3 linked regions of the Kluyveromyces lactis genome follow. The protein of the gene in region 1 purifies or fractionates together with the protein of each later gene. This does not show direct contact. Links are inferred from orthologs where the notes say so. Each region holds a gene or a part of one and is shown in the gene's direction. Other genes may lie near its edges.

What was found.
Region 2: the proteins of THO2 (region 1) and SRP1 purify together in Saccharomyces cerevisiae (affinity purification with mass spectrometry; 3 studies listed by BioGRID). This does not show direct contact. The link is inferred for Kluyveromyces lactis from reciprocal best matches to the Saccharomyces cerevisiae genes THO2 and SRP1.
Region 3: the proteins of THO2 (region 1) and KLLA0_D05016g purify together in Saccharomyces cerevisiae (affinity purification with mass spectrometry; 4 studies listed by BioGRID). This does not show direct contact. The link is inferred for Kluyveromyces lactis from reciprocal best matches to the Saccharomyces cerevisiae genes THO2 and HRB1.

Annotation. Positions count from the first base shown.
Region 1 is NC_006037.1:996,920-1,007,352, reverse strand, and holds THO2 (Tho2p), read left to right. Parts: upstream 1-3,872; coding exon 3,873-8,465; downstream 8,466-10,433. Other genes in the region: NAM9 (mitochondrial 37S ribosomal protein uS4m), read left to right, coding at 1-233; SRV2 (adenylate cyclase-binding protein), read right to left, coding at 440-2,083; KLLA0_A11616g (uncharacterized protein), read left to right, coding at 2,457-3,098; U2 snRNP complex subunit YSF3, read right to left, coding at 3,238-3,498, 3,575-3,577; INN1 (Inn1p), read left to right, coding at 8,730-9,896; KLLA0_A11550g (uncharacterized protein), read left to right, coding at 10,202-10,433. UniProt on the Saccharomyces cerevisiae protein: Component the THO subcomplex of the TREX complex, which operates in coupling transcription elongation to mRNA export. The THO complex is recruited to transcribed genes and moves along the gene with the elongating polymerase during transcription.
Region 2 is NC_006040.1:723,151-734,562, reverse strand, and holds SRP1 (karyopherin alpha), read left to right. Parts: upstream 1-2,757; coding exon 2,758-4,374; downstream 4,375-11,412. Other genes in the region: KLLA0_D08624g (uncharacterized protein), read left to right, coding at 666-1,181; KAR1 (Kar1p), read left to right, coding at 4,863-5,627; translocation channel protein TIM22, read right to left, coding at 5,754-6,344; SWT21 (Swt21p), read left to right, coding at 6,618-7,853; COP9 signalosome catalytic subunit RRI1, read right to left, coding at 7,837-8,958; GDH2 (glutamate dehydrogenase (NAD(+))), read right to left, coding at 9,326-11,412. UniProt on the Saccharomyces cerevisiae protein: Functions in nuclear protein import as an adapter protein for importin beta nuclear receptors. Binds specifically and directly to substrates containing either a simple or bipartite NLS motif. Promotes docking of import substrates to the nuclear envelope.
Region 3 is NC_006040.1:427,516-439,245, reverse strand, and holds KLLA0_D05016g (uncharacterized protein), read left to right. Parts: upstream 1-5,892; coding exon 5,893-5,904; intron 5,905-6,334; coding exon 6,335-7,654; downstream 7,655-11,730. Other genes in the region: COX4 (cytochrome c oxidase subunit IV), read right to left, coding at 129-593; TPN1 (Tpn1p), read right to left, coding at 1,340-2,911; KLLA0_D05038g (Zn(II)2Cys6 transcription factor), read right to left, coding at 3,572-5,593; BUD3 (Bud3p), read right to left, coding at 7,765-11,730. UniProt on the Saccharomyces cerevisiae protein: Binds to intron-containing transcripts and is involved in quality control for the export of spliced mRNAs from the nucleus. Binds to pre-mRNAs until splicing is completed or until faulty mRNAs are degraded.

The DNA of each region.
Region 1 (10,433 bases):
GTGTGTTTGGTCGTAACGATCCATCTAAACCATATTTCACTCCGTGGAAACCAAGACCCTTCTTAGCACCATTCGCCATTCTACCACACCATTTGGAAATATCATTCAAGACATGTCATGCGGTCTACTTAAGAGACCCTGTTGCACGTCCAGGTCAATCTGAAGTTATTACTCCATTCGGCTTACCTGTACATGAACGTTCATACATGTACTATGTGAGAAGGGGTAAATAAGTTGACGAAAACAAATACACACGAAAGAATGGATACACTGTGACTATGACAATTTAAAAAGAATGGTGTATCTTGGAAACCTTGTACATATTATTATCATTATTTTATCGTATCATATTATATTAATTATATATATATATTTATATGTTCTAATGAGTAAAGAATAAACTAACACCCAGTAACGAGAAGATATACTATTCAGATATTCAACCAGCATGTTCGTAAATCTTGGTTTGTAGTTTACCTTCGACGAAAGTGTGTATCATCTGTTCTGGAAGTGGAACTTCAACGAAGTCACCATCGGGACCAGTTGGAGTGTTGATGTTAATACCAGTGCTAGAAGAGGTGAAAATTTGAGCCTGTAAAGAGTTTTTACTCAAATAAATGGAGCCGCTATCAGACGCGTCGATGGTGATTTGTGGCAGGGTGTTTTCCACTTGAATACCAAATCTCAAACATTTAATAATATCCACACCACTGATGGAAGAATCTAGCACTAAACTGCATTTTTCTGTTTCATTGACAGTAACTGCGTTGACCTTACCTTTGATTTGTACCAATGTGTTGACACATTTACCGATGAAAACAGATTCGTCAATTTTAGTTTCGATCACTAACGGTTCGGCTTCATCTTCATAATTTTCAATAAACCATTTATTACCGATCAATTCCTTTCTTGGAGGCTTCTTAGTCTTCAGAGTAGATGGTTTCTTTGGTTTAGGTGGAGGAACAGCTTTGTCAGAAACCTTCCCTGAGGCACGAAGTTCTGGGTTCTTATGTGTTTGCTGAGACTTTTCTACTTTCTTTAAGGATTTAGTGATGTTTTCACCTTGGTTTAACTCAGCAAACACAGCACCGATTCCACCAGATTCTTGTTCTTTTGATTGTTCATTGACTTCGAATACGGAAGCCGGAGGAGGTGGAGGTGGAGGTGGAGGAGCTCCGGCGCCTGAACTATGCGGCTCACTGGAAGTAGCACCAGAAGAAGAAGCTCCGGATCCCTCGTTGGAAACTCTTTCGTATACGGTTTCGAAATCCTCACCAGTAGTGTCGTTCCAAGTCACACCTGTGGTATGGTATTCCTTAACGTACAGCTTCAAGCTATCGAAAACGGACAAAAATTGTTGGACCCATTCAACGGATTTAGGATCAGTGCTTCTGAATTCTTTCAAGATTCTATTTGTCCAAAACTGGGCAGCGTCCTTGAAATCAGTGATAGTAGACACAGGTGTAGATCCAGCAATCCATGAGAACAGTGGTGATCCCTCAGAGATAGCATTCAAATGAGCGAAATACTTACTGTTACGGTTCTCCTCTTTCAACTCACCAATAGAGAAGATGTTCTCGTTAATTGGGGTCAAACCTTTCACGAATGCAGATGACGAAAAGTCTGGCTTCTTTGATTGTACTGCTGCCTTTAAAAACACCAACTGAGCTTTGAAAGCGTTGGCTAAAAACACCACAGCTTTTTCAACAGTAGGATCAATTTCAGCGGATAATTTAACCAAAGGATCAACGTTCTGTTCAATGAAATGCTTAAATTCTTGAATTGATTTCGGTTCTTCCTCCTTCGATTCACCAGTACTGTTTGGTGCTGTTGCTACCGGTGTTGCGGCTTCTTTAGAAGCTGCTGATGCGCCTGAACCTGCACTAGCAATTCTTTCAGCAGAAGAAGCAGTAACAGAATCAGCGAACCCATCAACCTTACCGTCTTTCTCTAAGCCAAACTTGGATTGAACATAGCCTTCTTGATAAATCGTAACATCCTCCAATCTGGCAGTAGCATCCTCCAATCTCTTCAAAAGTTTTACCAAATTGTACCCCTGCACTGAGAAATTTGTTTCAGTCATTTTCCAACTTGCTTCAATCCACTCAAACGTCCTGATTACAGTTCACCGTCCGTATTGGAAGCCTTTCATACACCAAAATCAGAGCAAATGCCCCTATTAAAATGTTTCTCTTCTATTATTTTTTTGTTTTTTCTTGATTCCTTAAAAGTGTCTCTGATGAACATGTAAAAGTGACCATTGAGAACAAAGTTGACGAAAAACTCTGGAATGGTAGGTTAAGATGTTAACTTATGTTACGAAAGGAAACATCAGGTTACTATACGACTGTGGTACTCTGTTTCATTTTTCTTACGATTCAGGAAATTAGTACGGTCTTACTTTTTCTGGTTAAGATAGCAAAGGAGAATTCTGTTGTGTGTCCTTTATTGTAAATATGGCATCGCAGCATCGGAATGGTAATTCGAAGTCCAGGAATGGGGGAGGAAAAGGTGTAGGGAAAGGTTCTAACTCGTTGTTTGGGCGTGTTGGAAATTCTAGTGGCCAAAATCCCGTATTACAGAAGAAGCAGACTTTGGAAAGGGCAGAGAAAGCAAAGGCAGAAAAGGCCAAAGCAAAGACTGGATTGACATTTCTTGGTGGTAAACTTGTGTTAGCTGCTGATTTGCAGGGCAATAAAATGAAAGCCAGCTCAGATAAGAATAAGCAACAAATTCAATCGAACAAACGTGTCAATTTGCTTCATAATTTGAAGAATAGAGCTAGATCTAAGCAACGAAACAATAGTGATAACAGTAATAATAAGAAGTTGGTTATTTCATTGAAAGAGAGTTTGAAATGTTTAAAGATACGAAATTTGCCGATAGGAACGAACCCTTCTAATTTACAAAGAGTGTTACAACAGATGGGCAACTGCAAAGTTACAGACTTGAAAGTTATCGATCTTCCTACTGGTTCAGCCCACGCTGAGGTGTTTGCTTCCAACATGGATTTAGAAACGTTACACAAGAGGTTCAACCAGGCCGAAATTGATGGCAGAAGAATCTTAACAGAGATTTCTTCGCAGCCAGAACTTTAATTAAATATATTACAATCTCTGAAAGCGTTTTCGATAGCTTTTTAACTTCGATACACCTAACATAAAATACACGTTAAATACCGCATGTACCAACAACAAAAATATTGCAAATACACTTGTGTAATATCTATAATAATCATTAATCGTTTCCAATATCCCTTTTGATTGGTTTTGGCGGGTTTGCAAGTTTTCGTAACAGTGTTAGTTGGGCATCCCGTTTGGAAGGGAATCCTGACGCCAATGTGTAATACTCTAAAAGGTTCTGATGAATAGCCAAGCTGGCATATGTGTCCTTGCTTATCGTATTAGACCACTCTTCCTTTGTTGTTCTAGCACTCCCTACCCCTGGATGTTTCTTCCGCATATCTTCATATATCAGTTCCTCTTTCACTTTGTTACTCTGCAGTTAAGTCAGTAGTTAGTATCATTGGTCAGCATAGGATATTACACATAAATTGGAAAAAAAAAGTACATACCATTGTTTATAACTTCCTATTGTTCTCACTGATACCATTAACTTAGTCAAATACCTAGTATACTGACTGCTGTGACTCTTTTCATCCCTGTTTGAGATATCAACTCTATTCAAGTTACCATTCTCACCATGCCGACATTTTTCAAATATCGAATTTGAATATGTTAAAAATCTGTGAAAGATATAACACATACATTGCGCAACATCAACCTCATGATTGTAGCGTCCTGGTGACGGAAGAGCAATAGGGGTATTTGCATTTGCCAATTGAATTAGGCACACGGTAAATTGTTTTCATCATGGCATTGTACGACTGTTTGAATAATTTGGCTTCCAATCTTCCAAATGATGAACAAGTTACTTATTTTGACAAGACGTTTTTCGATGAACCAAGTCGTGGTGTAGAAACAATCATATCACAGTACCTTTCCTTAGATGCCAGTTCTCAGAAATCTGATTATGTGTATGATTTGTTTCTGGAAGCTTTTTCCTTAATCAATGGGAAATCTGATGAATCGGAGTTTTTAAATTTGGATGCTATCAGCAAAATAGTTAGTGCGTTATGCAACGAGGATAGATATAACTTCGAGCTATTTGTTTCGTTAGCGAATTCATACCCTTGGGAGGCGAACAATGGGTTTAATGATTTAGTTGGGTGTGCCAAGGATCTTCAGTTAGAGGTGTGTATTTATTTGAACGACCAAATTCTTTCAAAGGGTACAGAAAGATGGTCCAAAGATTTTTGGTCCGCATTCAAAAAGAGCATCGTTCCCGAGTTCTTCCTTTTGCAAAAACCAAATTTATTCCTAGAATGCTCTACTGGTTTCAGTCAACTGATAACGTTGTTGAATATCGCTTTTGAAGATGTTGACAAATTCCAATCTGTTCAATATTACAGTAAACAGTTGAAATATATTATGGGGAAATATAAGCTAGACCCAATCAGGTGCATGGATATACTATTACAAGTGTCTTCATATCATGTCGTACACCATTTTGAGTTTATTCTTGAGCTTTTGCAATCTACAGACTACTGGCCATCTTCGAATTTGGCCAACTGCTCACGGTATGAACAATTGAACCAAGGTGGTAATCCGATAGCTACCAGGTTGATAGTAAATTACCTTAATAATGGTAAACCAGATGCAAATTACATCGATTTAGTGGTTCATCTAATTAAAGGCGGGTTTGTCTCTTTTGCTGCTATATTCGATTGCCTGACCCCGTACGATACTGACATTGATGAGTTTGTAGAGAGGAAGCTGACGACATTGGAAAAGGAATCCTTGGAGGGATCTCTTAATCCGTTAGCTATGGCCTCCGTCCTTACTGACGAAGACAATACCATTTCGAAAAATACGGAAGGTGATAAAACCAATACAGCGGCAGATACTGGGATATCGGAGAAGGAAAAAGAAGCACTACTTCGAGAAACTGTTGAAAAATCACCAAAATGGAAACTAGTAGAGAGGTTACTTGTCAATGGGCACTTTGTTCCAGGATTGTATGCTCTATTCAAATATCCTCGGTTCTTTGCCGTGAACGATAGTCTCGTGAAATCTCTTCTCGAGGTGTTTGACAACATGATCGAACCCTTGACTGTAAAGTTGAGCCCTTCAGCTATTTCAGAACATTGTCGACCTCTTTTGAAGTTATCTCACAATGGAATTCCTACTAAACAAGATCGGTTGATCAGGCAATATAGGTCTTTGGGGAAAGACTACAAATACATTCAAGGGACAGAATTTGTATTTTACAATAAAGACTGGCGACAGAATTTGACTCCAATTGAAACGATAGAGAATCTCGTTCATTATTCACATCTAATATTTGAAAGCATCGGTCCACGTATTATTCTTAATGCTAAACTTGTTGAACATATATGCGCCATAGCTGAAAAAAATATTCTAGATAACCTAGAAGATGAAACGGTTATGGATTTATGGATTAATTACTGCAGAAAGTTTATGCTACCAGTATTAGGACTAGTCGAAGATGAGCAGTTTGTTGCAAATGCAATTTATTCGGTTATGAAGCACTTCCCATTCGAAAGAAGATACTTCATGTACCATGAATTAAGTACAAAGATTGCTGAAGACAACATACATGTCAGGTTACAATTTAATAAGTACCAAAAGCGGATAAGGTCACTTTTAAAATCTTTGAGTATTGACAACATTGCATTTAAGTGCAGGGATGTTGCTAACTTCGTGTCCTGCAATCCTCTTTCAACTCTAGACTCTATCCTAAAACAAATAGAAAATTATGATAAAGTCTCTGAACTAATCGTCATAAGTGCCGAATTTTTCTCAGAATTCGCTTACGATGTTTTACAGTATACGTTATTAATTAAGCTCACATCGGAAAGGCCAACTTTACAAGATGATGGTATTACTCCCAAAATGTGGATTAGCAGATTATCTTTGTTCATTGCGGGTCTTGCTAAAGGCTGTTCTAAAATGAGTATGTCCAACATATTCGTGTTTTTGGTCAAAAATCTTTACAAGGATCCATCGCTTACCCTGGCTATTTTGAAGGAGTTAATCTCCCAAGTTGCAGGAATACAAACGTTGTATGATGTAAATTGGAACACTTTGCTAATGATAAGCTCAGGATCCTTTTTAAAACAAATCGGTAGAAATCTTATCTTGGATTTCAGAGATAAGTATTATCAACCTTCAAAAACTATTGTCAATTACTTGTTAGAGCTTAATGCAGTGTCAGAAATGATTATCATGCTCACAAATTTGAATCTTAAGATTCAAACCGATAATAACGTTCATTATAAAATCTTATCAGCGAAATGCGATGAATCCAATGCATTACTTTGGTCATTTATTGAAATGTTAAAGCACATTTTGACTGAAGAACAATTCAAAGCCAATATTCTACCTTTCAACGTTTTAATTGAGAAATATCAATTTCCTGTTGAGTGGGCGTTTGATATCTGGAGGCATTATTTCGATACAAAGCTGGCGAGATCTGAAAATGATGCTGATGAAATCAACGAAATTCTATATGAGACTGATTTCAAAGGCATCAATTTTGAAAATATTGATAAACGTCTATTCATTGATTTCTGGCGGTTATCCTTATATGATATTAGATTAGAAGAAGATTTGTACACGAAGCAGAAAATCATTTACGAAGACAAGAGAAAGGCTGCTAAAGTTTTGAAAGAGAGGCATAGTTTATTAAGCACAATACAGACAGTCAAATTTGATCTATCTCAGCATGCAAGCGTTTTTGAAAAGACAAAGAACATGATTAAAATGAACAAGGAGACATGGTTCCCCGAATTCTCCCGTGAGCGTATTACCTCATTTTTGCAACACTGCGTTGTTCCTAGACTCATTTTTTCACCATTTGATGCCATATTTTGCGCAACTTTCATTACTGAAACATTTAATATCGAAGAAGTAATTGATATCTTAGGGCAATTCACATCCTCAAACATTTTAGGAACCTTACTATTTTCTTCTACGGTAAATGAATCGAGCAACATCGCTACGTTTTTGAAGGACATTATTACCAAAATCGAAAATTGGAGACATACTACATTATTGGATGATGACAAAATTAAACCTGTAATATATGACCTCTACTATCAATTAACAGAACAATTATCATTTACCTTAGAGGATTCCAATTACATGTCCATTAGAAACACAATCCAGTTTTTAAATGCTATAAGCGAAATCTTCCCTGTCGTTGATGAACATTTGGAATTGGTTTTAGACACTTTGGATCATTTAATTGAACACGAGCAAAGGGAGGATATCATTTTGCCATCAAACGCTTTGAAAGGACACTTAAAGGCTAGACTTAAGAACGCCTCTAAGACATCGGATTTCCGTGAAGTTTCAGCGGAAGAACAGCAACAACTGCAAGACGAGATGAATCTCATCAAAAGGTACCAAGATATGAAGGAAGCTGCAAAAGCAGAGCAAAGTAGAAAGGAAGAAGCAGAATTGAAAGAAAAGGAAAGGGAAAAGGCAAAACAACAGGATGCTGAGAACGGTGCTGCAACATCTTCACTTACCGCACCATCCATGTCGTCCATATCCAACAATTCTCCATCTCCATCGCAAGTCATGGATGGCTTTTATAAGATCGAGAAGTACATTAAGGATGCTGAGTACACCAGAGCCATTCCCTTGATATACGATTCTAACACTCAGAGTGATTTTAGAAAATTGATAAAAGCTCCAGGCAACATCTCTGGATTTAGAAACAAATTGAAGATATTGTTCGAGGACTATTACCACCGAGTCACTAGTAATCCACCTGATCACTACAGATCTGTCTTTGAAAATTTTATTCAAAGATGCAAATCTGCTCCTTTGCCTCAAACCAAGACACCTGGAAGTATGTATGAAGATGAAGTAGTACCTGTTAAACCTTCATCGAAGTACAGTGGTGAAAGATGGAACTCCAACACTTCCAGTAACCGTCCAATACCTAGTGAACCAAGAAAGGCAGCTTCTTCTCGTTATCAACATGGTATAGCCTCAACAACTCTGCCAAGAGCACCAGCCAACGCGTCTAAGCCTCCGGATACTTCCTCAAGACCATCTGGTCCTGCAAGCTCAGGTTCATCTAGCAGATTCCAAAACACATTACCATCTGGCCCAAGAAAAGATTCGTCTAGCAACAGAAGTATCAGCAATTCAAACACATCACAGCTTCCTAGCAGACCATTCAATCAAGGGAAGAAATTCGTTAATACTCCCTCCGAACCACGAAAGAGGCAATCTGATGAATCTTACCAAAGTTCAAGCAGATTCTCAAACGTTAAAAAGCCTAAGTTGAACGATCGTTCTACAAATAACCAATCGCCATTACCATCTGGTCCAAAAAGACAATCTGGAGGATCGAGATATTCGAGGTGAATAAAAATACTTAACTCGACACTTAGTTAAATAGCATAGCATAATATATGCTACCAATTATCTTCGATTTTGTACGGTCTTTCCCTGAGACTCTGATGCTTCTTACCACGTAAAACTGTCAATATGAAAAATGTTGAAAAACATAGACCTATGTAAATATAAGATTGAATCAAGCTAAACTACATATTTACAGTTTGAATAGAGCTTCTTTATGGGTCAATAAGCACTGTTAACACCTTTCAATCGATATAGGCATTAAGTGTAATGAGCAATAACGTGATAACCGGAGCAAATGGTCGATTAGATGTTTATGTGAGTAAAGCGAAGGACCTTCCAAATCTAAGAAAGTTAGACAAGCAAGATCCTTTCGTCAAGTTAAGAGTAGCTCATCTTACGGAGATATCTCCAGTGATATACAGAGGCGGCCAAACTCCAAAATTTGATTACCATTGTGTTTTTCAACTAACGCCCGATATCAAGCCTCTACTCTGCGTTGAACTGTACGATGACCATGATCACAAACATGGTTCGAAGCTCATTGGGAAGTGCGATGTTGATCTTTTGCCTGCATTACTAAGTGACCCTGAAGAAGGCCATGATAGGTGGTATCATCTGAAGAGGGGTCCTTTGGAAGCTGGTAAGGTGTATATTGAATTGACTTTTGTTCCAAATAACATTAGCGAAGACAGACGCGACAATGTTCCAAAAATAAGTTCCAGTGTACAGTCCAGGTCAGTACCACCACTACCGTCAGATCCACCGGAGTTACATGCACAATATGAACTGCAGACATCGGCAAGTGAGCAGCGGTTCGTTGCTTCCGCATCCCCAGGCCAATACGTTCACGGCTCTCATATAAAATCTCCACTTCCTGATCTACCTATAAACCTCGATACTTCTAGATCATCACACGCTTCAAGTGAAAGAATAGATTTTGATTCATCGATGGGGTCTAATGCTACAGCAAATACCTATCATTCGCAACAAAGCCAATCTACTGATGGGCTGATGGACAAGTTAAAGCTGATCAAAGAAAAATTGAATTATTTCAAGAACGGCTCCTCGGTACCATCTACAGAGAGTATCACCAACACTGCGATGGATTTGGAAGTCTTACAGAAAGTGGTAGGTGGCGGTCTCGAGAGTAGCTCAAGCTCAAGAATACCAACGAACATTGACGAGCCATCGCCTATGAATCACCTTCCTACAAAATCGTTTGTTGAACCGCCATTACCACCTCTTCCGACTACGCCTTCAAGACTATCCAGCCAATCTTCAGTGAGACATTCAGCCGGACAAAAATATCCGTTAAAATCTCCTGTGAGACAACCTACTACTCCAAGGCTACCGAACTTGCCAAATTCTTTTTCTTCGCCTTCTTCAAGATCAGGCTCGGTTTCTCCAACAAGGAGGAGACCACCACCATTATAAATGACTTATTAGAACTACATAATCATTGATAGGATAGACAGTTAAAAGTTTTTCTATCACTACTCATATTAGATGTTCCTCTTATCTTCTCGAAGCCTTGGAATCTAAAATGGTTTCAATCGTTGCACCTTGAATTCTGTCAATGCTAAGCCTTTTTGCATGATTATTCAACCAAAGGGTCCTAAGATGAGAAAAGAATATATAAAGAAAGAACTTTAAAGTAATCGCACAAGAATACTCGAAAGAAGACTCTGCTGTATTATGTTTGATACTATTCGAATTAGGAACCTCACTGCAGTGGATTAATGATACGACAAGATGGTAAATTGATAATTCTGCCCAGTAAAATAACTGTCGGAAAACAGCTTGAAGTTGGAACATACTTCATGTTAAAACTGGGTCAAAATGCAATACGATTCAATTCCATTAGGGGAAACTTAGAACTTAATGTTAGAGCTGCAGACTGGGATACTAATATGGAGTTCATTATATTTAGGCGAAGGCCACGATTGAAGAATGATCTTCTTGGTTGTCGAC
Region 2 (11,412 bases), on another chromosome or scaffold:
ATTTATCTGGTTGTACGGTGAAACCCACGAAAGGGCAACACCATTCCCCCTGTTCACATGACCAATCGGAAATATAATTTAATATGCTTTTATCCCAATGGACATATTATCACCGACTGCAAACCCTCATGGGGTTTACCCTGATTTGAAAATATATGCTGGCCAAGAGACATGGTCATGTGCACGTGACCTACGTATACCATTTCGGGTAATCCGCAACAAAGAAAAAAAAAATAGCTCGAGAGCTACCCCACTGTCTAGGCAAGTTTGCGGTCTTTTTGAATTTTCTTTCTAAGATAATTTCTAGCTCACCACCTGCCGTCACTACGTAACTTTTGAGAGGGAAAACGAATTCCATGTTTCTCCTCTAAGAAATCCGGCTCTGTCTCCCCTTTGTTATTATATATAGAGAAACAAGAAACTTCTTTTTTATTGATGGATTTTCAATATATACCATATTCATTATTCTTTCCTTTTAATCACTTCTTTTAAGTCAATTTAGTTGTTGTTTTTGATACTTTGATATAACTTATCTAATTCTTTTAAATAGTTCTTTTCGATATCCTCACACCGCGCACACTAACACACCAGCCAACGACCTAGAAAAGCCCTTTTTGGTTTTTTTAATTCGCAAAAATTCGCTTCTGTTCTGTCTCACACTCAGTATGAAGTTAACTTCCGTTGTTGCTGCTTTCTTTGCCGTTTCTGTTGTTGCTGCTCAGCAAGAGAACAGTGAAACTACCACTACAACCACCAACACTCATAGATACGGTAGATTCGACAAGACTTCTCCTTCTTCTACCCCTACGTCTACTGGTACCCACAGATACGGTAGATTCAACAAGACAGCTCCTTCTTCTTCCCCTACATCTACTGGTACTCATAGATACGGTAGATTCAACAAGACAGCTCCATCTTCTTCCCCTACATCTACTGGTACTCACAGATACGGTAGATTCAACAAGACAGCTCCATCTTCTTCCCCTACATCTACTGGTACTCATAGATACGGTAGATTCAACAAGACAGCTCCTTCTTCTTCCCCTACATCTACCGGTACTCACAGATACGGTAGATTCGATAAGACTAACAACAGGGAAGCTGAAACTGCTAACGATGCTGACTTGGTTAAATTTTCCAGCTCTTTCTTGGTTGCTGGTATCGCTGCCTACTTGTTATAAGTCAACTTCCAATTGTTAACGAAATGCCAAGAAAAAAGATACTCGAAAAGTTGGCCCTCTTCTTTTATTTTCGTTAACTGTCGTTGCTATCAAACTATATCACAAAAACTTAAGGATTTTCTTTCACCTCACTTTTATCAATCTTCGTCAACCCTGTTCGCTTACATCCAACACTGGATGCATAGGAAATGATTTGATTGTTCTTTTTTATTTCGTTTTTTTTTTACTTGGTTGTTTGATTCCATGAATTACCTATATTATTCTACTACCTTACCTATGTCGTTGCTGCGTGTCGTGAATGTGTGTCGTGTGTCGTGTCGCGTGCTAACAAATTTTTTGTTTTGAGTGTAAGTGTATTGTGTTAAATTAACACAGTATATACTACTCAATCTCATCTATCTGTGTCCTAATTTGAAAATTATTCCATTTCATGAATGAAAAAAAATTGACGTTTATGAACCGTACAGCAGTGTGTGTGTTGTGAAAATTCATAATCGTCGATATTTGGAGTATATATATAACAAAAAGGAATGGAGTGCAGTAGGTGAACCGTGTTTCTTTCTTGGCGTTGAATTCTGAATCTTTCCCGCCTGTTCATTCGAGCACTCATTTATTTGTGAGGGACATTTTCAAAATGCTGCTAGAGAGAACATGTCAATAAAACATCAACTGAGCGGTTTTGTCCATTCCTTTTTCTCTCCCTCAAATCATTCCATCCATCTCCAATACCCAGTGAATGTATTTTTGATGCTTACTAAAGGGGGAAATAGAAAAAGGAACTTATGCTAGTTGATTGTATCACAATTCTTTCGCTTCTACTCTCATCAACTTACCCTCATGTATACTTTAGTGTGTGTGTATCATGAGAATGAATGAGGAACGAAAACAAGGAATCCCCGGTGATATATTTATATTACCAACCATCCCAAATATATTATGTATACGTATATACATCTCTTAATATGTGTTGAAAAGTGTGTCAAATTGACCCTGCCCATCTTTTCCTGTCTTTTGATGTTAGAACCTTTGTCGTTTTCTTACACGAGGTTGGTATGTCACGTGACAACTCCGTACATCACGACTATCTGGCAAAGAAATTTCAACCAAAAAAAAAAATTCGAATTTTTTGGATGGCCAAAAAAGAAGGATTTTAATCAAGATGGATATTATATGGGATTGAATAAAAGATTGGTTTGCATTCTACTTCAATTACACTGTTACATATATAAAACAATACGGTGCTCTTGGCTTCCGATATATTTTTCTGTCAAGCAATACAAAGAAACGAATCAGATTTTCATTTACTCAAGGGGAAACGCTATTTGTGATTGTTAGAGATTGATTTTGCGACTGATAATTTCTTCTTTAAATCCAACTTCTCTTTATTTTTGTTTGATTTGGAACCCATTTGCAAAAATATCTACTTGAAAAGACGGGACGATCAATTGTGATTGTGAGTTTGGTAGAAAGGAATTAGTTACAATCTTTTTTTTTACTTCTCTGAATTTTCTTTGGTTCGCGGCTAGCACGAAGGATCAGATAGCAGGTATCCGTTTTATTATTTTATAAGTGAAAGATGGACGGTGACACTTCCAGCAAGTTTGTTCCTGAATACAGGAGGACAAACTTCAAGAATAAGGGTAGATTCTCTGCTGATGAATTACGTCGTCGTAGAGACGTTCAACAAGTCGAGTTGAGAAAAGTCAAGAGGGATGAGGCATTAGCAAAAAGAAGAAATTTCAATGCGCCTGTTGGTAACGATTCTGATGATGAAAATGATGATGATGACGATCAGGACTCCTCTTTCTACAGACAATTACAACAGGAGTTGCCTGCTATGTTGGAACAAATCCATTCTAACGATCTACAACAACAGTTGGCTGTGACGGTCAAGTTTAGACAAGTCTTGTCTAGAGAACACAGACCACCTATCGATTTGGTTATCAGTACTGGCGTAGTGCCAACCTTGGTCCAATTCATGAGCGAAAATCAACCTGAGATGTTGCAATTGGAAGCTGCTTGGGCGTTGACGAACATTGCTTCTGGTACTTCTGAGCAGACTAGAGTCGTCGTAGATGCGGGTGCTGTGCCATTATTCATTCAATTATTATATTCAAACTCGGTTGAAGTGAAGGAACAAGCTATTTGGGCCTTGGGTAACGTTGCTGGTGATTCCACCGATTATAGAGACTACGTTTTGCAATGTGGTGCCATGCAACCAATTCTATATTTGTTCGAATTGAACAAGACTTCCTTGATTAGAACAGCTACGTGGACTTTATCTAACTTGTGTCGTGGTAAGAAACCTCAACCAGATTGGTCTATCGTGTCTCAAGCTTTGCCAACTTTGTCTAAGCTAATCTACTCCATGGATACTGAAACGTTAGTCGATGCTTGTTGGGCTATCTCATATCTTTCCGATGGCCCGGTTAATTCGATCCAAGCGGTAGTAGATGCTAGAATCCCAAAGAGACTTGTAGAACTACTATCCCACCAATCTACGTTAGTGCAAACCCCTGCTCTAAGAGCTGTAGGTAACATTGTCACAGGTAACGATTTGCAAACTCAGATCGTTATCAACTGTGGAGCCTTGGCAGCTCTAAGAAATCTATTGGCTTCTCCAAAGGAATCCATAAGAAAGGAAGCTTGTTGGACCATCTCTAATATAACCGCTGGTAATACGGAACAGATTCAAGCCGTTATTGATGCTAACTTAATTCCACCATTAATCAGATTGTTGGAAACTGCAGAATATAAGACAAAGAAAGAAGCATGTTGGGCCATCTCGAATGCCTCTTCTGGTGGGTTACACAAGCCAGAAATTATCAGATATTTGGTCAGTCAAGGCTGTATAAAACCATTGTGCGATCTATTAGAGATTGCTGATAACAGAATCATAGAGGTTACACTAGATGCTATAGAAAATATTTTGAAGATGGGTGAAATGGATAGAGAAGTCAGAGGTATTGCCGTGAACGAAAATGCTGATTTCATTGAGAAAGCTGGTGGTATGGAAAAGATCTTCAATTTACAGTCTAATGCTAACGAAAAAATTTACGAAAAGGCCTTCAAGATCATTGAAAAGTACTTTAGTGATGAAGATGATGTTGTTGATGAATCTATGGCTCCACAAACAGCTGGTAACACTTTTGGATTTGGATCAAATGTCAACCAGCAATTCAACTTCAATTAAAACCAACTCTAGCTGTGCGTGTGTCATGTAATTACATTTGCTTTTTTTATTCTAGACAATAAATGAATACTACGCGCCTGTTAAATATCATATAATTTTTGCATTAATGTAATCTATCTATAGTATTATTAATCTACACTTCTCCCTTCATTGTGAAACAGAATTCTATGTCATTAAAGGGCCCAAGTCTTATTTGCAGTTTTGAACCACGATAAAAGTAAAAACTGTGCTCAAAAAACAGTATCATGGACCTTCTCTCTGTCATAGAAATTAGGTGACCAGTTAGGTGCATATCACTTTCGGTGTTACCTCTACATGTTCCGATGCATAATATCAACATTTAAAGGTTTGGATTTTTGTAAACCTTTAAAAATACACAATCGAAATTTCCTCGGTGAAACATCGCCTATAATCACACGAAAAGGAAATATCCAATGCATATGTGCTACTTCAAAGCTCGGAGTTGAATATTACGCTGATGCGATAATATGAGTTCAATGCCTGAATTTCTCAATCTGCGGTCTCCCCAGAGAAAGATTAGTGACTCACGAATAAAACGGATCAACAAAATGTTTGACGCGAAGATTAAAGATGAGGTATCAGTTGTTTCGAACAATAGCACAAGTGTTTTGCAAGATATATGCGGGCCTTTAAATATTTCTGAGGAGGAAGATACTGTGAAGTACAAATCATCGAGTAATGTTACTACTCCGGGGTCTGTAAGCTCCAGCGAAACGTTTGATGATGAAGTTAACCCACAGTTTATGCCGAAGCTGCGATCTAAACAAAGCATTGTACAACTGTCCCAGCATAATACCCCAAAGAAGTCAAATACATTTCCAAAACGAAGACAACTGAAAGAGAAGCTTGGTGATCCATTGCCCTTACCTTATCTTGACCCTCAGCAAAAAATGGAAGTTGGTCGTGACCTCGAATCCAGATGGAATACTATAATATCGAACGCAAAGGTACGACAGACTAAAGCAGAGCCTGTGAATAAGGCCAAGAGGGTATTAGAAGCACCGTCTTTTGAAAGTCAAAGAAAAATTTCCCGCAAAGTGTTTCAATCTAGTGAAATAACTACATTGGAATCCCAATTGAAGGACACTAGTGCCAAGCTAGATCGGTTGATCGATATTTTGCAGGACAAAGAAACTTTAATTGGCAAATCAATGACCTATGAACCAGTGATATGGTTAAGTTGTATCATTATTCTCGTACTTTGCAATGTATGGGTGTATCATTACCTATGATAAAGACTGAATTGATATATAAATGCACGTATTTACATGTAAAGTTCATAGATATCATGACCTGGAGTCTATCTAATGTACAAAGAACGGACGCTTAATGCTTAGAGTTTCAAAAATATAAACTGATCATTCATCGAAGTCATCCTTGGGTGGTTTCTTATTCTCGTTTCTCATGTATAAATCAATGGCCGTAGAGAAGGCAGCAAAACCCGCACAACCCACTAATGCTGCCTGAGGTCCACTCTTGTATGCCAAGCCACCGCCTGTCAAACAACCTGCAGCTACACCGTTATATATATCGTTCTTTGCCCTTAACGATTCCACCACACATTCGACACCTGAATAAATCATACCGATGTAACCGAAATTCTTTGCACTGGAGTAGGATCTTTTTCCCATATCACTAAACTGGATCTTTATCTGCTGTTTCAACGGTAGATCTGCAAGCTCTTTCACTTTATTTGGTAAACCTGGAGCATTGGTTGGAGCTGGCGTATGTAGAGGTGTGTCATACGCCATCGATGCCATAAATAAACCGAAAACACCACCTAATGCAAAACCAGTAACACCACTGATGGCAGCTTTTCCAGGACAAGAAGTCATAAACTCCACCATCATTTGGGCACCTTTTTCACCTTGTTCTTCAGGCGAAAGTTGATCAAATGGTTTATTCTCTGGTGGAGAAACTTGGTCTAAACCAAACCCACGATACACCATTTTATTTTAACGTTTCTTACTTCAACAGTAGCTAATCTTCCACAACTATCCAATACTTCACGGTGTCCTTTTACTACTCTGTTCAACGATGTATATATTTATTTCAATATTATTTTCGATGAGCTTTTGATATTAGCTATTCCAAAGCTTTTTTTCTTTCGATAAGAATAAGCTTCAACTCTGTCAATATGTCAATATTGACAGAATGCCTCATCGCATGCACAGAAGGCAGCATTTTAAGCAACTGTATGCGGAATATGAGACCTTTTGATAATGCAAACGATAGCCAGCACATTAGACTGCTACTATGGGACAAATTGTAATTCATTATGGTCTCTCGAAGAAGAATTATCTCGAAAATTTTCAGCATATGCAAAGAATTACGAATTTCCAAAGCTGCATCGTTCGTATTTCCATAGCGTTGAGCGGTATTGTCCTGTGATTTGTTCTCAGCTGACTTGGTCTCATGATGGTACTTCTATTTGCGGCGTTTTTGATGATTTTGGAATACGACAGTATCTTATACCAGAAGATCCACTTGTAGATCATTGGGTTCCTTTCACACGATGGTTTGTGAATGGTTCCATTATTTCCTCTGTCGTCCACCCTAGATACTCACTGTATGAAGAGGATTCAGCATATCAAACTATACTTTGTTCTTCAAGAGATCTGCCCATAAAATTGTACTCATTACGATCGGACAGCATCAATGAAACAAGTTTATACCATTACTCTACTGTTAACGAAGAAAATGAAGCCTTTGAAACGGCTTATTCAATGACAATACTTCAAGACACTATGCATTTCATGACTGGATCTGTTAGAAACAGGATAACTATGTATGATTACAACCGACATAAACCGATATGGCAACATCAGTGGACAAAACAATCATGCGGGAAGTCATCACAGAAGGCTATCGTATCATGCTTTGATGAATATAACGAGGTACATGACAATGTCAGGTTTGCTGGTACTTATAAAACAGAAGTGCTACGAATTGATACTAGAAGTACTAAATCTGAACTAATAAGTGAGCGTGATTCATTGGACTCGTGGTCAAATGGAATCTACCAAGTCATTAAGTCGGATAACGGACATTATTTGTACTGTATTAAACGTAATGCAAGAGAAATCGATGTTATTGATACACGAATGTTAAAATCTAGAATTAATATACTGGAACTTCCATTCAAAATTGGTAAGCAGAAATTCAAGGCATCCTTGAACAGTGCCAAAGGTTTGTTAATTGGATCGTACGATGGTCAGGTTGCATGCTGGGACAAAGATTGCATTGAATTTGGTGGGTTGGACCCACTTCAAACCGCTGGTACTGGAATAAAGCCAACGAATAACATTCTTATTTCAGATGAGAATGTAAGGGTGAATTGCATTGCAACGAATCCTGTTGATCCAAACACCCTCGCTATTTCAACCTCGACTGATAAATTTGCAGATGATGAGGGTATGACATTAAAAACATCTGTGAAGCTTATTCGGATGCATTAAATAGTTGTCTGTAGGTCCTTAACTTTTGATATTGCTTAACCTTCAATAAGAGTAGTTTCTTCTTCTTCAGTTCGTATTCATGCTTTATCTCTGCCTCCTGAAACTGCATGCCAGGTATCACATTGGCCGGTATATCAAGACTACTTTGAGCACTCTCTTGATCATCCATTTCTACATCAGTAGTATGCCTTGTGGTTAAGGAAGAGGTCGAGGAGATTGAATTGGACCTCTCGTGTGTAAAATCTTCATTTCCTATCTCAGTTTCATTAACCACGGTGGATCCGATAGCATTGAATCCTACAGTTGACTTCATCACTTTTTTGGCATGAAACCAATTCTCTACACATTCATGTAGCTCTTTCATTAGTTCCGGTTCGTTAGGATTGTTCTGAATTGCTGGATCTACCTTGAATTTCAATTTTAATTTTGAAATGTTAACATCAAGTGAGTTTTGATATAATTGAATGTTAAGTGGATAATAATCAACATGCTCGTTGTTATCTTTAGACGGCAGTGTCCTAAATGCTCCAATGTCCAAAGTGTTTCCGGATAAAGACTTCTTGGGATCGACCACTATGGCAAGGTACGGGTCTTGGTAATTTTGATTTAAAGACTGTGTTTGGATGTCGATATTGCTCAACCAACAACCATATCCTGGATGAGAGTGGTACCAGCCCACTATCTTATCTTCTTTTGTGACAAATGCGTCTAAATACTGGACCATATATTCATATGATTCCATATGCGCATTAACCCTTGTTTCAGTTCCTTGAACAGGTAAAGAATAGCAATCCTTGACAACTATCATATCATTGCTAGTGTATCCTACTAGCATCCCCATAACTTCAATATCTCCACCATCAACCGCATGAGATAACATCTTTGTAGTAGCAAGTCTTGATATAAGGCATTTCTGAAAGTGACACGGATTTCGTTTCAAATCGGTAGCATACGGGATTCTTGCTGGTAGGTGGTCTATTACAGGAATCGTCGTGCTTGAATCACTAGAACTGGAAAGTGAAGTTTCTGTATTGATGTCTTCGTTAGCTTGAATCCATCGAGTGACTTCTTTCAAGGATTTCTCATGAAATTTTATGGAGCTCATTCCTCATTCCCAGTCTTCTAAGGTGTAGCAGGCAAGCGGCCAGACACTCTTGATGAAAAATGATACTTAGTAAACCACTGTTGTTAATTCTTCCACGAGAAGTTTACTTTCTACTTGCCTTTACAATTCGAAGTAAAATAGAATCTTAAATTTCACAAAATGTTCGTACTAGAAAGAGCGCATAATTGATAAGATTTGTCATTACAGATAGGAATTCATTAAAATAGTAAGTGATTAAGTACACTACCTTACTAAATAAGTATTGCATCTTGCTGTGTTTACATCACATCCGTACACAATATATATACATTTGGAATTTTACTTCCCCCTTTTTCAAATACAAAAGAGTTTCAATGCAAGTTTCTGATCAAACGATTTCCAAATCGCTTGCTTCTCTCTTAAGGTTACCAATGTATTCCAAGAATTTACCCATATTGACATCAGTACCAAACTCATAGACGAAGTGACTGGACAAATAACTGGATAACAAAGCCTTTAAATAGGAGTCTGGAATTTGTTTCAAAATTTGCTCTGGCCCAGCAACGTCGGTTAACAACTTAGGAATGATCTTGTTTAATAGCAAATAGTTTCTCAACTTCAAATCGTTAGACCATAATTCATCTGATTCAATTAAATCATCATTCAATTTGTTGATGGTTTCCGAGATCACATTGGATAAATGAGACATTGGTAAACCAGTAGCTTTGTTTAATTTCCATAATTGACCAAATTCTTGTCTAGCATTGAACTGAATCTTTTCTTGAATTTGTTTCACATAAGATTTATACAGTTCAGTATTAGTCTTACCATCAGTACTGACAAATTTGCCGACGAAATCTTCGTCGTTCAACGATAAAGCAGCCAAAACTTCCATAGATGACGACGTAACACCACCCTTATTAGCAGAGGCATCCTTAATCAAAATAGCACCATGTCTTTCCAATTCCAACTTGGCTGGTTGAGAAATGAATAAGTTCGCACCTTCAACAATGTATGGAATCTTACTCTTATTGTTTTCTTTGTTGATGAAATAGTGCAAGTTGTTCAAATCAATGGAATTTGGTCTACCACCACATGGCACAAATAGGTCAATATGGTTAACAAACTTGAAAACTTCATAATGGAAAGTGTTACGGAAAGTAGTACCATTTGCGACAAGGACACCATTAGGTAGCATGACGTCGATATCATCGACAGAGACAAAGAAACCTTTCTTGGAAAGTTTAGATTTGTCGTAACTTGAAACCATGACTCTTTGCTTGGCCAAGTTAATCAACTCATGTTTGTCTAATCCTTCTGGATCACACAAGACACCAGAACCGTCAACCAACCCCACGTATGCTTCATTCTCAGTGGATAGTAAAATTTCATTGGAACCCAAATCACCATCTGGACCACCGGTTTGGAACTTGTAAGTCTTTTCATTTTGGAAGCCTGCGTGATCTGCTAGAGCATTGACATAAGATCTGACACTTAAAGAGGTCATACCATATTCATCGTGTGGAATACCACCTAAGGAACTGGTCTTACCAGTCAAGAAGGACTTCCACCATGGGCAACCACGTCTCTTAGCGTGCAAAGTAGCCCAATTGGTGAAACCTGCAGTACCTTCGTCAGGACCAAAGAATAAAATTTCTTCTTTGCCATATAAATCCACATAGTTTTCCTTTAATGGATCCTTGATTAAGATGTCGATGACAGAATCCACATATTGAGAGAAGGCGTTGAAAGTATCCTTTGAAGAAGTCAAACCTGGATTCAACAGAATAACACCCTTGGACCCACCTTCTGGAATATCCTTGTTCTTCTTCTGTTGTGTTGAAGCCAAACCGTAATTCTCATCGATAACACTCTTGGAGTTTTTGTCATAAACATCTTGGGATCTTGAAACTACGATTCTAATACCACCACGGGAGATGTCTCTGAATCTGATATGGAAAGCCTTGAACGTGTTGCCGACGACAAAGAAGATACCGTATGGAGTTTCTGGGTATTCACTCTTTGGTAAAATTAAAGCAGGGTCCAACTTGAAAGAAATGGCCACTTTTCTGGTGATGAAGAAATTAGTCTTCAAGATAGACTTGTTGAACAAGTTTAAGGTTCTCAAGATCAATAGGTCTGGAGAATCGTTGGGGAAGACCTTGTTCAAATACAAGTTGAATTCTTCCTCACTTTGGAATGGTTCTAATTGAGATAGACGTTGATATGACAAAGTCATTTGCAATTTTTGGTTACCAGACCCAGTAGCAGAAGTCTTTGTAGGATAATGGACTTGAGCAAACGATTTGTATAACTTTGATACAATTTCCTTGTACTTGTGAAGGACGTGTATGATCATTTGTTGAGTGTAAGTTTCAGTTCTCAACTTACGCTTCAAATTAGCTAAGAGTTCGTTCAACAAAGTATCATCTGGTTTTACGTTTAATTGCCTGATTAAAGAATCGTAACTGGAAC
Region 3 (11,730 bases), on another chromosome or scaffold:
ATTTTAGAATAGGTTTGTGTATTTGACATTTGTATTGGAATTTTTAGAATGATATAGTGGTACACTGGTTGTTAATCCTTTTTTTACCAGGATAAGTGGGAATGATATGGAAGGAAGGATTAAAATGCTTAATGGTGACCTTCTTGAGGAACACCGACCATCTTAAGCTTGTATACACAACCGGTTTCCCAACATCTGGCGACTTGACCGTCGGTTGGCTTCAACCACATGACGTTGTGAGAACCAGCTGGGGAACCAGTGGCACCGACATAACGGTAGTCATCGTAGGATTCAACAATGATTGGGTTTTCCATGGTACCGATTCTGGAAGAGTCCAATGGCTTGGTGTCGAAAACTTCGATACCTTCCAATTTACCCAACAATTCCAATCTGGCTAAACCAGTGGCTTGGTCCAATTCGGTTGGAACTTCACCGTCTTTGGCACCAGGACCAATCAAAGTGTCAGCACCGTTAACTTCAGCCAACTTGGTAGCAGTCTTAACAACTTGTTGATCACCTGCAACCTTGGTGGTAGCAAAAGCTCTGGATGCTGGGCCGAACAACTTCGATAGGGATTGACGTAGAGACAACATTATTTCTTCTTTGTGATTGGATTGATAGGTGATAACTTAGATACTCCGATGTGTGAATCTAAAACGATGGAACAAAGGTATATTTGAATTGTAATGAACTAATCAATTAGCAATATATGACAAAAAGAACCACTTGGATACTGTAAGCTAGCTGAGACAGATAAGGTGATCAGTTGAATATATTCGCAAATGAAAGTAATCGGCGAAAGAAAACCCTCTGAAACAAACGTATGACTCTCTTGAACAAACTTGATAAAACGTCTTTAGCTACTTTCTAAAACTCTGAAATCACTGTTGAAAATATTATTCATATATATACATTCGGTTCCAATATCCTGCGAAAATCAAGAAATGAAAATTATCGCTTATAACAAAAAACGTACAAAAATCACATCATGTTTCCCAGTATGATTGGAGCAGGGAGAAGAAGGAAAGATACAAAAAAGGTGTCTACTCGTACATAGTGATGTACACATTTTTTAGCTGGAGTAGTCTTTCGTATTTGTTTCTATTTTGTTTCCGGCGAGAGTAGGATCTAGTGTGGGTGTTGTCAATTGAGTGAGAATTCTGCGATATGGTTGGCTAGAGGTCATGTGATTTATATAGGCAATGCCATGCCATTAATATTAAAGAGATTATTCATTTGATCTGGCGCGCGTCGCGTGACAGGTTATATACATATATGTGTGTACATATATGTGTGTTTCTATTATATGTGTATAATGTCAGATAATGGGGAAAATGGTTCACCTGCCAAATTTCTTCAGTTCGCAGTACCTTAGTGGTGGATATGATACTCCTGCGAAACCCATACCGAGCCACATACCTAAATCTCCGCCATACTCGCCAATCTTTGCGGCAAGTGGCCCCACGTAATACGTTTGACACATTCCAAGTACCACACCAGCAACACCGATGCAGAACGCAGCGGATGCAGCCAATCCTCTTGTGATGACTTCAGAGTTGTCCCATTCATCCCAGTTGTACCTGTGGATGTGCCTTGGTAATTTCCTTAGTTTATGATGTGGTTTCACTTCTATGTCATTGGGGAATTCCAATTTATATAGATGGTGGAACCAGTTTCTAAAGATGACGTTCTCTTCCACGAGTAAGATGAAGTACATGCTAATCCAGTAACCAATCATAGGTAGGAAATTTCCCAAGATGGTGGAAAAACTGTTTCTACCTACTAGCGCACATACGAGGTAAAAGATGGTACATCCGATAGCCCAGATCCAACGAGGCACCTTGGCTAACATCACACTTGATAATTGGATGGAGAATGCTGCAGAGTATGTGTTAACAATATTATTCGAGATTAAAGATAAGATCAATACAACGACCAAAAATTTCCCAAATCCATTCCAACGAGAGAAACCAGCATTCATGAGACCACCCATCCCATATTCATCATATGCAGCTTGCCAAGGTTCGTAGGACAGTGAACATGATGCCAGTAGAAGACCCAATACACCAACGAAAGTGGTTGGTACCGCAGTTCCGAAAAATGTCAATAAGAAGACTTGAATCTGAGGAGTGTCCTCGGGGAACAAGATATAGTAATCTGCTGTGATGGAACCCCAAGTTGATGTGATACTGTAACACAAAGAAAAGAAGGATAACCAGCAACCTTTCACAGTCAGTGAATCAATGTCACTATTACTGAATTCGTACAAGTACTTGAACTTGTCACTTGCTGAGATGTACAACAACAGGAAACTAGTTAGCACGGGCACTGCAAACAGAGTCTCTACTTTTAAAACCTGCTTGATACCAAAAATGGAAACAAGCAACGATACCACAGTAACAATGATAATACCAACCCAAAGTGGAACCTTACCGTCACTAACACTAGCTAGCATTTGTCCTCCAACAACACAGTTCACAATGGACCAGCCCATAACACCGACAATCGCAGCCAAGGCAATAAATTTCACAAACCACCAACCGAACAGATAACGAGCAGTAACTATTTGTCTACAACCAGATTGTGGACCCATTACAGAACAGTAAGCTGCAACCCCACAGCCGATCCACATCGATATCAATCCACTCACAAGACATTGGTTAAACGTAAGTTGGAATACCATTGGACCAAGGAAGTATGACGACATAGAAGAAAGCCCACCAGCTGCACTCAACCACAACCCAGCAACATGCCAAAACTGTTTAGCGGTGCCACGCTCATACGGCTGGATACGCTGGATACCACGCGCTTCAACACCTAACGCATCTAACTTATCAGAAAACTGACGAATGCTCGATGCAGAACGTACAAAGATTGACCTTTCAGTCACCTCTACCTCCGACTTTTTCATAGTTCTTGATTCGTAGCTGTACCTGTTATTCGAACCACAACTATTGTTGAGGTTTATGACAGCATTAAGCAACTCAGTAAACAGCCTTACCAAACAACAGGCTTATGCTTTGATCTAGCAATGACATATCTTGGTTCATCTTTTATATATCATATCTCACTACATGCATTTTGAACGCTTTTCATACTGAAAGTCCAAGTCATCGCGAATGTGATGATAATGAAAAGAAAGAAAAAAAACTAGTGATGGAACGGCATACACACTGAACGAGGATCCAGGAGATAGTGCAACGGTAAGTCCACTTTTTAATCGTCCTTTGTTCTTGAACAGGAAGGTTACAGAACAAAGAGGTCCTCTGGTGCCGCACCAATTGTTCTGCTGTCTGTGAAACTTATGTAAATAGTAGTTAACTCTCACCATCAACGTGAGATTCGGTATGTGTGTAAAAGGTACATATGTCGATGCGTGTGGCGTTCACAAAATATATGCACGATTTATCAATATGAGTCATGTGACCGTTATGATAAATGAATAAAGGATGTACAATATTGACAGTAGTCTGCCGTTCTGTACTAGTTCGTACAGTTAATTCGTACAGATTTCTGGTGGGTCTAAACATGTGCTATATCAGAGTGCTATGGGATGTATAAAAAATAGTGTTCAAGAAAATGGAAGCGCATCAGCAAGGTCCACCTCATTCTGTGAGAGCATGGTCGTTGGTCTTGGATACCATTTTCTAATCAGATATGCGATCGATATTGCTGCTGATTCAGCACCCAAGTTTTCTGCCATAGTCATGAAGTATGCTAGGATTTTGCATCTTGTCAGCCGTAGTGTATTTGAATCCAATAAAATTAGCTTCTCAGCACATAAAATCACGCTACTTTGGAACATCATCAATCTGAAGTCCTTCTGCATTGGTACGATGATGCACCTGGAGGTCAATTCAAATTTTAGTTTCTCTCTTAGGCTTGGGTAGTTGTATATTTCACCAGCTTCTAACTGTTCTGTCAGCATGTTTATTTCCATTATTGTCAAATTACAGTCTGAAAACATCCACTCTAACATTTTCCAAACTCGTTTGCAAGAGTTTAGCACTAGCGAACAGTCTTCAGGTAGTTTAGCGCTTCTTAGTAGATAGGTGACAAATAGTAGTTCCACATGGGTCTGGTGGATGGAATCGTATATAGAATAGACAGAAAGCTTGTGGAACACAACGGATGCCACATCTGAGGTGAATGACGGTATCAGGGAGTAATTGTCGGTATCAACTTTCCCGTACGTGTTTGGATAGAATTGGTATTCTCGAGATGCTTGTAACAATGAGCAGACGTTAAGGAAACTATCGTTGTTATCGTCTTGGCCAGTATCTGCATTAAGACATTTCATCACTTCCTTGATAAGCAATATTCCCTCTTTCGAATACCCAAGAAATGTGTTATAATTATTCCCTGATATGAATCCCATCTGCTTCATGAGATTGTCGCTCATGGATGAATCACTGGATCCAATATCTAACATCTCCTCCATTTCTGCTTCATTGAAAAAATGGTTACCTTTCGCTACACAAGCAACTATAGCAATGGCACAAAACCAGTTACGTGCTAGTGTTACAGTCCTCCTATGCAAAAGTGTGCTCCCAGTGCTTCCAGTCACCATTTCTCTGTTGTCGTTGTATTTCATAAGTAGATCCTTAGCTCCTCGTAGATGGAATTTCCATTCTTGAGTTCCAAACGTTGAACTATCCAATGTCAACAATAGCACACATAAATTCAAAGAGTCTATCTGTGAAAACCCCAATGATTCTTGGGATAGAGATTCGAATTCTTGGTACAATTGCTGTAGTGCTTTTCTCAAGAAATGTTTCCTAATTATATTATCATGCTCTTTCCCGTAAACATTGTAGACATATTTAGCACTGATTGACACCATCGAACTCTGTAAGTAAGACTTTTCTCGGGCGTGTTTTTTATTTGCTCTTATTACGTGCTGGAATAAGATATGGTTACAAATGTTAGAATCCGGTGATTGTGCTAGCGGCATCAACCAGTATGATACATTGTCATAAAATATCTTCAAATATGATAATTCCGATTTTGATACCTCTCCTAACATTCCTTCGATCTCTTCCCATCTGTTGAACACGGGCCCGCCTATGTCATCATTGATAGAACTGATACTTTTCTGTTGGCCTTGGTTTGCGGTCACGGCGTCTGTTTCGGGCAGCTTGGAGAATAAATCATTAGCAAAGAGAAGCGCATCGTTCAATAGCGCATTCAAATCATCTTCGTCATTACCAATCGCATTGGTTGCAGCATGCTCAAAATCCACGTCACGTTCATTGTTCGAGAGTTTTCTAGTATCAGATGATGAATGATGTTCCATGTTTTTCCTATGCAGATCGCCATCTTCCTTATTCTTTCTCTTTTTATCCGAGACTGAGGTCACTTTAGAGTTTACTCGAGATTTATTGGGTCCCCCAGAAACAACAAATTGAAACTCTTTGGTCTTATAAACACATTCAAGAGACAAATGCGTGCACTGCCAACACATAGGCTTCGTCTCATCACATTTAACCTTCTTTCTCTTACATTCAAGGCATCCATTTTTGGAATACTTCCTCTTCTTCTTGGCAGGTTCGGTCACATTAGAGACTGCAGTGTCCGGAGTAGTGTCTGCCATCTCAATAATATATTATATTATACCAACACCAACCACCTGGACGTAATATGCCCTTTTACAGGTCTTATACTCTCCCTTCTTGCCACGCTTTAACTTGCATTGAGTCACATGACATGCGGCATTCTTTATATCATGCACGTCTCTTTTTATTCATTAACACATCTAAACCTCGAAAAAAATTCAGAAGGAATTAAATCTGTGAAAACATTCAGCACTGAAAAGAACTTCGTTATGACATTGCTAAACGTCGTGAAATAATTTCAAGACTGCTGCTAGACGGTTGTGGCTGGTAGTTAAATATGAGTTCATACGTATGTTGTATTTTTGAAAAGGAATTGGTGTGAAATGGCTGTTTAGACTGCTACACAATGATCATACCATATCTATAGTATTATCACCGACAGTTGTTGCTCAATGAATTATCAAAGAACAGATATCCAAGCTGGTAAGGTTTATTGATATTATGCATCTATTGACACTGGGTATGCGATGGTTTAATTCTGCTTGTTTTTTGGCTAAGATTGTGGCAGGTGTCGCTATTATAAGTGCTTTTAGTTTCCAGTATACCTAAGGAAAACTACTGCGCAGGAAACATACTAGTCATTGGCTGTAATACATCTTTGCTGCAAATCTAAAGATTAGTTCATTTCTAGGCTTCTGCTTCAAGCGTTAACATGTGATACTAACTGGTTACTATATGAGTTGCCATTAATTACTTTTTTCTGGCCTTTATTAATATAGTCAAGAGAGAGATCGAGATCTAGATCACCTGTAGCAAGATCAGGAAACGAAGATCCACGCAGAGGCGGTTATCCTGATCGTAGCTATAGGGATGATAGAAGAGGAAACTACAGCGGAGATAACAGAAGATCTGAAGGATATAACAGGGACACTTATTCAAGAGATAGGGACGGAGACAGATATTCGGGTGGAAGATCTGTAAATCGTGGATACCGTTCTGTTGGAAGGGACAATGGGTACGAGAATCAAGGTTATAACAGTGGTAGATATGGCCGTGGTAGATCCTCGAGATATGATCGAGGAGGAGCTGCTACTGCTGCTGCTGCCGCCGCTAAAGGAGACTATGGACCGAAATTAGCGAGAGAGCTCGATTCTCCATATGATGAAAAAGTAAACAGAAACTATGCCAACAGTATCTTCATCGGTAACCTTACATATAATACTACACCAGAGGATTTGAAGGAATATTTTGGTAAGATCGGTGAAGTTCGCAGAGCAGATATTATTACTTCTAGAGGTCATCACAGGGGCATGGGTACTGTGGAATTCAATAACAGTACTGACGTCGATACGGCCATTAGAGATTGTGATGGTGCCTTTTTGAACGGACGTGCCATTTTTGTCAGGCAAGATAATCCACCTCCTGCTGAAATCTCGAGAACTGGAAATAATAACGGCCCACCGCCTCCTCCAAAACGTGCTCACGATGAAGGTTTCGAAGTTTTCGTGGCACAGCTACCATTCTCTGTTAATTGGCAAGAATTAAAAGATATGTTCAAACCGTGCGGTGATGTTTTGCATGCTGATGTTGTCACTGATCGTGACGGTAAGTCAAGAGGTTTTGGTACGGTCTATATGGCTACCAAAGAACAACAAAATGATGCTATTCGTCATTGGACTGGTACAGAGTATAAGGGCCGTGTATTAGATGTTAAAGAAGGTAAAGGAACTTCTACACGTACTGCAGCCACTGGTGCCGATACTTACATCCCTCGTCAACCACGTAATGAACCACCAGCAACTCTTAAACCAAAACCACTAGATATCGATCCTCTGGCTATAACTACGGGTGGTGATAGAAACTCTGTAATCTTCTGCGAAAATATGCCATCTTCTACCACTGAATCTGATTTATATGACCTATTTGGCAGTGTTGCACCGGTTATAATAACGAAATTACTGTTGAATCCTGAAGGTCATTTCACAAGGAACTCATATTGTCAATTTGAAACACCAGAGGACGCAGATATATGTATCAGCAAATTGGACAAATACTCCTATGGAGATCATGAGTTAAAGGTGACTTATGCCAGATTCTAATTCTAACTTCTAAATAATCATGTTTTATATTTTGATATCTAGCGGGCATTACTTGAGGTAATATCACTAATTAATAACCTATTCAAACTTCTACGTTTTCTCCATAGGGACTAAGCGCTGAACTGCAATCGCGTTGGTTTTGTTTCATCATCTTCTGCTAAAACGCCACCTAAGTAGTCATAGGAAGAATCTCTTAGGAAAGAGGGTTCATCATGTTTGCCGTTGTTTTCGTCGGTCAAAGCACCGAAAGCAGCAGCCTTAGGAGCAGCTTTTTTTGAAGCTGGTGGTTGTAAACTCTTGAAAAATGTGTCTGATTTATTACTGATGTCAAACATATCCAATTTGCTTGGAGAAACCCAGATTGGCTCATCGTCGTTTTCAACTGCTGTTGGGTGTACTTTATCGTGAGCTGAAAAAAAGGATTCGTTGGATTTGGTGAAATTGTCGAATTTGTAGAATACAGGCTCTGCTACCTTCCGAGGTAGAACATTTTTATTTTCAAAAACATCGCCAGTATCCATAGTAGACTCTCTAGTGGAAGTGTTATTGGTATTGTCAAATGACATGTGGAAGAAACTGAACTCTAAATCATCTAATAATGGTGCAGGTTCATCTTGGCTATTGGTCGTTTCCGTCGGTAATTTTATGGTTGATTCTGGTGGAACTAAGTGATCCACATTTGTTTCTTCATGGCCGTGTTCACTAGGTTTGGTTTCTTCTGTTTGTGGAGTATAAAAAGGACTTTCCGGTAAATCTTCCTGCGAGTGAAATGTTAGCTCAACAAGTCTTGCATTTTTGCTCATATCTTCCGTGTAGAAACTTGGAGGATCATCGTTCAGGTTCGAGGATCTTGAAGTTCTTTTCATAGTTAACTCATTTCGAGTTATAATTTTGACTGGAGAAGTTTTTATTACATTAAAATTACCAGATAATTTTGAGCTTTTAGTGAGAGTTACTCCAGTATCTAGTGTTCTTTGATCAGATTTAACATCATCCTTGTGGAAAGACAGTTCATCTTGTTCAGGGACTTCTACTGCTGCTGATAGTCGCTTATTGGATCTTAAGTTCTTATCAGTCGGTATATGAATGGCATATTTTTCATTTAATGAAACTTCACTGGATAGTCTTCTCCAATTCACTACTTCATCAGACTCGTCTAAAACCATGCGCATTTCCTTAAATAATTCTGCAAAAGAAGGAGATTTAGTAAAGTTGATTTTTGGTATTTCATATTTGTTGATCTTAGGGAAAATTGGAGATTTCGTATTGTCCTCATCTTTACTGGGATAAGTGGAAGATGCTGGTTGGCCTTCGAGTTGCTCCTTGTCAACTTGGGTTATGGAAGTTGGAGTGGATTCAATAGTAATTACATTACGAGTATTTTGTTCCAAGCTTGTGAAGCTGTTGTTAACATCAGAGCATGGGGTGATTCCGCCTGATAATTCCACACTAGTGTCCTTGACACCATCGTCCTTGGTGCGGTCGTCCTGCTGAACTATGGTATCTGCTCTGTTCTTATCATGTACACTAGACGTAGGGGCAACTATGTCCCCGAATAGATCATCGTTGAAGACCTGGCTTTGCCTTGCTTGTTGATGCTGCGTATAAATAGATTTCGGCTTAGCGTTATTCTTAAGAGCAGAAACATTATTCGCATCCTCACAGCTAGCTTCAGAAGAGTCGACAGTTTTGAAGGAGTTTGAACTGGAAAGGATATAAGGATTGTCCGAGTGGGGACGAGGGTCTGGAGTGATGTTTTTGTTGTGGATAACTGACCCAACACGTTCTCCTTTTTTCTTTGGCACGCTAATAGGCGGTAGATCTTTCGAAATATTTCTCGCCAGTCCAGCATCCTTTTTTGTTACAACCCGTTTCTGGCTTTTCGAAGGTGATTTCCTCTTTCTGAAAACAGAAAACAATTTCGATATGAAACCTCCACGTTTTGACTGTTTGCTTTCTGTTTGAGATTTGTCCTTGTTGCTTTTGAGAAACTTTTTGTTTGCCTTCGATGATTTAGCGTTATTAGAAAGTAAATTGTCCTTAAAGTCGCTCACGCTACTTCTAAATGTGGTAATCGTTCCATAAGATTTGTCCTTTTTATGAACAGGTTGAAAACCGTTCGTCTTGTCGTTAACAACAGGCGTAGTAACTATCGAAGGTGCGTCGTGGATATCGACCAAGTTAAAGTCGTGTCCTATTAATTTCGTTAGTTGTTCGTTGATTCTTAGAAGCTCGTTGTAAAATGGTGCCTTGAAGGAATATGTATATTTGCCATAGTTACTCATCAACTCTTTGGTTAAAACAGTGACAAGTTCATCAAGGGTTACTTCGACATTATCAGACGTCCCTTCCGATGTTAATTTTGTCAGCGAAATTTTACCGGTATCTAGGGTTGCAAAAAAAGCTAGGTCAAGTTCGTGTTCCTCTAATTGCTTTATATTTGGCGGACAATTTAAAAACAAAGTGAATCGTGATTTGATCGTTTCATTTTGATAGGCTTCCAGCTCATGCGCCGTGAAATAGATGTTAAAATTGCAACGGTTTGATTTGAATAAATGGAAGGCAGTCACTTTTTCCAGAATGGTTGCTTTTGTACACAATTCTTCAATGTGAGATGCCTTCATTTTAGAAGAGGCGAGCTTGTATACAAAACTTTCCGGTTGTTTGGGATCCAAGAAAGTAAGGATGATAGAGTTATCCTTTGTAGTGGACGTTAGAATCCTATCAATATAGCAATGCGACACTACTTGTAATTTAGGAATCTTTGATGGCAGTGCAACTTCATTGATTAGGGAGTTCATGAGAACATCAGATATAAGTGGTTTATTATCGGTCTCCGAGTAGTACTTTTCAGCATCGACAATGCTCAATATCACGATATAGTCGCTGAAAATAACCAATAAATCTCTTCTTGAATTATTATCTGCATCAATCACGTCAAAAACACCAACAATTCGCCTCTTCAACCACTTATATTGCAGTTCAAGTGGCCAGCCTTTAGCTAATTCGGTTAAAATCTTTCCGGAGGGAGTAAACACTCTTGTGTTATAGGCACTCATGGTGGAAGAATCTAGTTTACCAAAAGAATCCACAATTTCCATAATATTTGTGTAATTTTTTTGAGCGTCATTTTCAATTTCTGGCGTTGACCACGTCTTGCATTGCCACAATCTCTCCAGTATCAGTTTTATCTTCATTAGCTTTTCTTGAGGACCTCTTATAATGGTTTCGATTTTCATTTCTGTATATGTATTACTATTTGGTATCACTTGCTTGAACTTCTGTAGAAAAAGCTTTATATCCTTTGAAAAGTTCTTAGTTGCTGCCTCGTGTCTCGAATAAGCTTTATAGAAATATGGAACTGTGACGCTGCATGCCTTCAAAACTTCTATGGAACCATATGGGGTAGCAGACTTCAGGGCATCTAAAAATATGCAGTTTATTCTAGTTACTTCATCGATCGTTGGTGGAAATAGTCGGTTCAACTTAGCTGCGGAAAGAGTGGGAATGTCTTCATTGAGGACATCAATTCTTAACGGTATTAAAAACTTCTGTAAGAACTCTATAATTGACAAAGTGAAGTTTGTTTGTAATGTTAAAAGTTCTTGACATACGGAATTGATTAGTGGTTCGTCCTTTTCAGTCTGCTCTTCTGGTGAAAAGTCGGGCGTTGTGTACACGCGTTCTGTTTGCTCCGGCGAGTATTCTGTTAACGGGTCAAACAATTGCTCTAATTGTTCACCTAGGTAAAATACCAACTCATTATTGGCATCAATAGATTCAGGCTTGTTTTCATACACTACGTCAACTAGCAGTGATTGTACTGATCTAGGACAGATCAACCCATGCAACATGATGCTTTTCCCCAAATTTCCAGGGGTACAATATTCCACCATTTTACATCCATTGGCCAAATCGCCTGAATGGGTCTGATCATACTCGAATTTCAATGGAACTCCATCAGTGATCTTTTGCACTATTGACTCATCTGTAGTAGCATATTTCTCTAATAAAGAGCAAGCAAGTACTTTCCTTACATTTGAGTCCTTATATCTATTACTGAGGTTCAAGACAGC